2 linked regions of the Rattus norvegicus genome follow. The protein of the gene in region 1 interacts with the protein of each later gene in a pairwise test. Links are inferred from orthologs where the notes say so. Each region holds a gene or a part of one and is shown on either strand. Other genes may lie near its edges.

Region 1 (2,479 bases):
AGACTGGATAAGTGTGGCTGTGACCATTGAACATTAAAAGAGAAGAAAGCACTGTGATTTAAATTGAATTTTTAGCCAAAGGGAATGGAATTGAGATTTTTGACAGATAATTTAAATTCCCATTAAAAATAGCCACTGGAGGTACTGGGTACGCCACTCTGTGAAAACCGCAGTGGACGGTGGAGACTGACCAGCTCCATGCATTTAAACCACATTAGTAGAGACAGAGACATGGCAGCTTTTGAAAAGCCTTCAAAGTACTCAAACCTAGCAAAAGTTTGCATACAATTCTAATGTGATTATTTATGCCAACCAATGCATGGGGTCCCTTTTGGAAATTGAGGTCACATGTGGGAAATAAACAATGCCATGTTCATTATAGTAGATTTTTTTTCTTTTTATCCGGAACAATATACTTCAGTGGTCATATGAAAACCCTGAAATATATAATCCTGCTAGATTCATGATACGTGACATTTTGTCCAACCTTTTTAATGTACTTGCTCATGTTCAATCTGGAGTCGACCATTTTAACTGAACTACATCTCATTACCTATATTCTAAACGATCACAGACAAAACACAACCTCAAATGACTGTTTATTCAACCTTAGGTTTTAATGAAGCAAGCACTCATTTTCTGAATAAACATATTTTCATGGGAAACCATTTTCTATTCAGATGTTGAAATAAAGAAAAACAGGCAGGGGTCTTTCCCAGGATGGCCTTTAAAAGTCTTTTGATCCTAAAAGTTGTAAGAATTTTTTTAAAAAAGAAATCTTCTTTTGCAAACGTCTTGCTTTATAGGATATCTTTTTGCCCATGTTACAAAGAGAATAGAATTATTTCTCAGTTAGTTATGTGTAGTTCACCACTATTCAAAGTAGTTTGCTTCAAATTTCAAAGACGGCTCCAAGAGGGATTCTTAAGAAAACTATTTGTGCGCTGGTGGTTAGAACTGTAGTGAGTCCACAGCCTTCCAAAGTATCTGTTTGGGCTGGATAAATTTACCAGGGGCCCTATTAAAACCCAGGCACACTGATTTATGGTTATAGTCAATCGATGGGAGGCATTTCGGGGATCATCCAGTTTTATGGGAGGTAGGAGCGCTACTTCCTGGGTATGAGAGCGTTCAGATGCGGCCTCAGACAACAAGGAAGATGAGTCTGCAGACAGAACTGCCACTCTCTGAGAATATATAAAGGGACAAGACGAATGGGGTGTCACACTCACACCTGACGTGCTCCCAGCCGCTCTTAGACCACCACCACCCTCTCCAGTTCACTATGGCTAACCGTAACAACTGCTCCAGCAGCTGCACCTCTGGATCCCTCAGGAATTCCTGCCACATCCCAGCCAGCTCCAACATTGCCCTCTGCTCTACAAACATGGGCTGCGGAGAGGTCTTCTGCGTCCCCAGCAACTGTCAAGACCACACCTGGTTCATGGACAACTGCCCAGAGACCTTTGCAGAACCTATCAGTGGCCAGCCACCCAGCCGCGAGGCCAGCGGCTTTGAAAACTCTTGTTGCTCTTCTGCATATTGTGTGCCCAGACCCTGTCATGGATCTGGCTATCTTCCCACGACTTCCTTCATCTCTGGATCTTGCCTCCCAGCATCCTACAGGCCCGTGAGCTATGTATCTAGCAGTTGCCGGCCAGTGAGTCCTTTCATGAACAGCTGCCGTCCTGTAAGCTGTGGATCTGGTGGCTACCGCCCACTCCCTTGTGTATCCAATAGCTGCCGACCCGTGGGCATCGTCACTTATGGATGTAGGCCTTCAGGTTGTGTGACCTATGGCCCTCAGACCATTCACATTGTGTCAAACAGCCTGAGACCTCTGCAGCCTGTCTGCGGTGGTTGCCAACCGGCGATCCCTGTGTTTGGCAGTTGTCGTCCATCTTGCTCTGCACAAGGAGGCCAGTAGCCTCCTTGTTCTAGTGAACAGCAATGACGAAGATCCAGGATAAAACTTGCAACTCTCTGGATGTTCACTTCTTTCCAGTTAGCATCTGCTTTTCCTTGTTTGCACCGTGTCTCTGTTAATGCAAACTGTTCCTTTCACACTGTGACTTGCTTTTATCTTTCCCTTGAAAAATCTTGGCCCCTATTGCCACTCATGTTGCTTAGGTGGGAAGATAATCTACCTGATATGATCTGCACTATAATAAACGAGATTAATCCAGAATTAAGAATCTAGTGCATTGAGTTTTCTTTCCTGACTTCATTTGCTAGGGGACACTGCACTGTCAGGTATATGCTACCTGACATGGGGACAATGGTTTATTATTTAGGAGTGTAATGGCCTCAGAAAAATATGGGGGACCAAATCATGACCTTTCTCAAAGTTATGGTCAAAAGGAGAGCTCAACACTAAACCTCTTACCTCTGACTTCTATTGCACACACCTCCACCAGAATATTCTCTAATTGCAAACCAGGCAATAGGCTCCTGTGTGAACCTAGGTTGTTTCCTTTGA
Region 2 (2,811 bases), on another chromosome or scaffold:
TCTTGCTGCTGACAGCTCCAAATCTTGTAAAAGGTCCCTCACAGGCTCGTGTGTTCAAACACTTGGTCCTCAGCTGGTGGTCTTGTCTTGGGAGGTTGTGGAACCTTCTGTACTTGGGACCTAGCTGGAGGGAGTAGATCTCTAGGGACCCGGCCTTGACAATGACTGCCTGGCTCTACTCCCCATTCCATTTCTGCTCCTGATCCATGGAGACATGAGCAAACAACCTTCTGCTATCACAAACCACAGCTATCACAAACTCCACTTGCCCTGCACCATGGCTTCTCTGCCACGGCGGACTGCATGTCAAACCATGAGCTAAAATAAACATTTTTCTCCTGTAGGTTGCTTTATTGGGTCATTTTGTCACAGACATGAGAAAGCTCACAAACCTCTTGATCTCTCTTACCTCTCACCCAAAGGAGACTCTCACTGAGGTTGAGTAGAGAGGTGGGGGAGGGTTGACCTGCTAAGACATGTCCAGACAAAGGCAGCGGAGACCAAGAGCAGGTGATGTGTTTATTGAAGGACATCTGATCCTGAGAATCAGGCTAGTTCTGGGGCTCCCGTGGAGATACTTCTCTCAAAAGCCCCAGCCCAGAATAGACAGATATAACAGACTCCAAATCAGTTGCATATAAATACAGAGGCTGGTGGAGGAGGTGGAGGGGGAGGAGCCAAAACATACACACACACACATACAAATAACAAACGAATGTGCAGGTTCCTATGCTAATAGAGAAAATGACAGCCTCCAGCTCTTTCCTTGTTCTGTTTCCATGAGACATTCATCTGCTTAGAAAAGCCCTGTCACTGTTAAATCCGACTCAGTAGCATGTGGCCACCTTCCCGGCAGTCCCTGCTAGGGTCTCTTGGATCAGAAAATGTGTCAAAGCCGGGAGACTAGGTGTGGTGGCAAACATGGGAGGCTAAAGCAGGAGGATCAGGAGTTCAAGGCCAGCTTTGGCTATGCACTAAGTTTGAGGGTAGCCTTAGCTACATCTGATCATCTCAAAAAAAAAAAAAAATCTCCTGGCAAAGTAAAAGAAAACAAAAACCAACTGAAACAAAATTACAATTTTTGTTTCTGTGGTCTTTTGCACCTCCCTTCCAATTCTGATGGGTGAACAACAAATCCCCTGACCAGAAAACAACAACAGCAATAACAACAAAAAAAAAAAAGACCGCAAGCACAAGAACATCTTAAGCACAGGCTGTGAGTCACAATCATAACATATTGCACACGGTGACGGTGTTCCTGAGCCCTTGCACTGCAGATCCCAGACATGGGCTTTTGCTCCAGCAGTCTCTTGCCTATCCATGCTGGTGTCACATACCCCATTAGTCCCCCCACTTTTATAACAGTCCACAGCATGATTAATTATCGGCCAAACTCAAAGCTGGGATCGGTTTAAGAACTATGAGCATGTGGTGGAGGGAAGTGAGGACCAGTTCAAACCTTTGTCTTCCTCTCAACAACATTCCCCCACCAGGGGGCAGTAATCCAAGTCCAACAGGAGAACACTAGCATCCCAGGGGTGGACTCTTCCAGACGGGGAGGGGTGGCATCCTCATCCTCGCTGTTGTTATCCACCAGTTGGTCCCGAGTTGGGTTAATAAAAGATACAGCCTCGTGTGGGACAGACAGTGAGGCAATTAAAACTTTTTGCTCCTACGGAATTTTCAAGTATCACAAAAATCCCTGACACGGTATGTAAACAAGATGATTTTTTGCAGGATAGAAAGCTAGATTGTTCCAGGAAGCAGCAGCATGTGGAATATCTAGAAGAATGAAAAGATCGGGGGTTCAAATACAGAGGGCAAGATAGCTGCTCACTGGGCCCCGTGGGGTCAGTGCTCGGCATAAACACTGGCCATGGGGCCCATGGAGCAGAGCTAGGGAGTGAAGAACACTCAGGATGGATCTTCTAGGGACATAGACAAACGTGCCAGGTGCCCCTTCTTTTTCAGTGGCATAGCTGTGAAAAGTAGTCTTTGAGAAGCCCAGATGTAGTACTGATCTGTATGCAGTCCTCAAATTCCAGTCTGATACGCTCCATTGGATCCCCCAGCTCAAGGGAATGGTCACAGAGCCATGTCTTTGTCCTCCAAGCACACATGAAAGAGGTTTCCCAGAGAGACCCTGTTGGGTGAGATATGTCCCTGGATGTTTTGTTTTGTTGGTTTCTTCTTTTTTTAAAAAAAAGCACAGACCCTCTCTATTGAAAGATACTAGGTTCTTTGCCTCACCTGGACTAGTTCTCTTCTTAGGTATTTACTTCCTTGGTCGGGTCTTCCAGGATTCTCCCTATGGTCCAATTGTGGCCTAGCTGTCAAAACAGCCTGTGGGGAACATATGGCTCCCGCTGAAGTAGCTGCTTCCGTAGGTGGCAGTAAGGCAGTGCCTGGGTTCAGCTGCTATGGCCATCTGCATGCTAAGGGATGCAGGAACGGGCACAGGACACATATCCAAGGGCTGAAGGGTTGGGTATGGCGTGTGGAGGGATGGACCAGTGTCTCCTGAGAGCAGGGTCCCTGAGCGGTGGGCCTGCAACGAGTCCCGATATGCCAAGCACAAGTCCTGCGCTGGACTCTGGAACTGGGCTAGTGTTGTTGGCGGTGGCTGGCTGAGAGAAGGGTAGGTGGGTGGTTGGAACAGCACTTGGGTGGGAGCTGATGATGAGCTGGGCACCATGGCCAGTGCCTGGCTCTTGACTGCAACGGCATCCTTGAGGACATTGTCATATGCTCTAAAAAGGAAAAGGCTCAAGTGAGTTTTGGAGATCAAAGGTCACTAGACACCTACTTAAC

The links.
Region 2: the proteins of Krtap26-1 (region 1) and Ccnjl interact in binary tests that used the Homo sapiens proteins (3 or more experiments, as listed by UniProt). The two-hybrid records come from large-scale screens. The link is inferred for Rattus norvegicus from reciprocal best matches to the Homo sapiens genes KRTAP26-1 and CCNJL.

Annotation. Positions count from the first base shown.
Region 1 is NC_086029.1:41,450,755-41,453,233, reverse strand, and holds Krtap26-1 (keratin-associated protein 26-1), read left to right. Parts: upstream 1-1,285; coding exon 1,286-1,927; 3' UTR 1,928-1,979; downstream 1,980-2,479. UniProt on the Homo sapiens protein: In the hair cortex, hair keratin intermediate filaments are embedded in an interfilamentous matrix, consisting of hair keratin-associated proteins (KRTAP), which are essential for the formation of a rigid and resistant hair shaft through their extensive disulfide bond cross-linking with abundant cysteine residues of hair keratins.
Region 2 is NC_086028.1:28,552,567-28,555,377, reverse strand, and holds the end of Ccnjl (cyclin-J-like protein), read right to left. Parts: intron 2,751-2,811; coding exon 2,327-2,750; 3' UTR 501-2,326; downstream 1-500.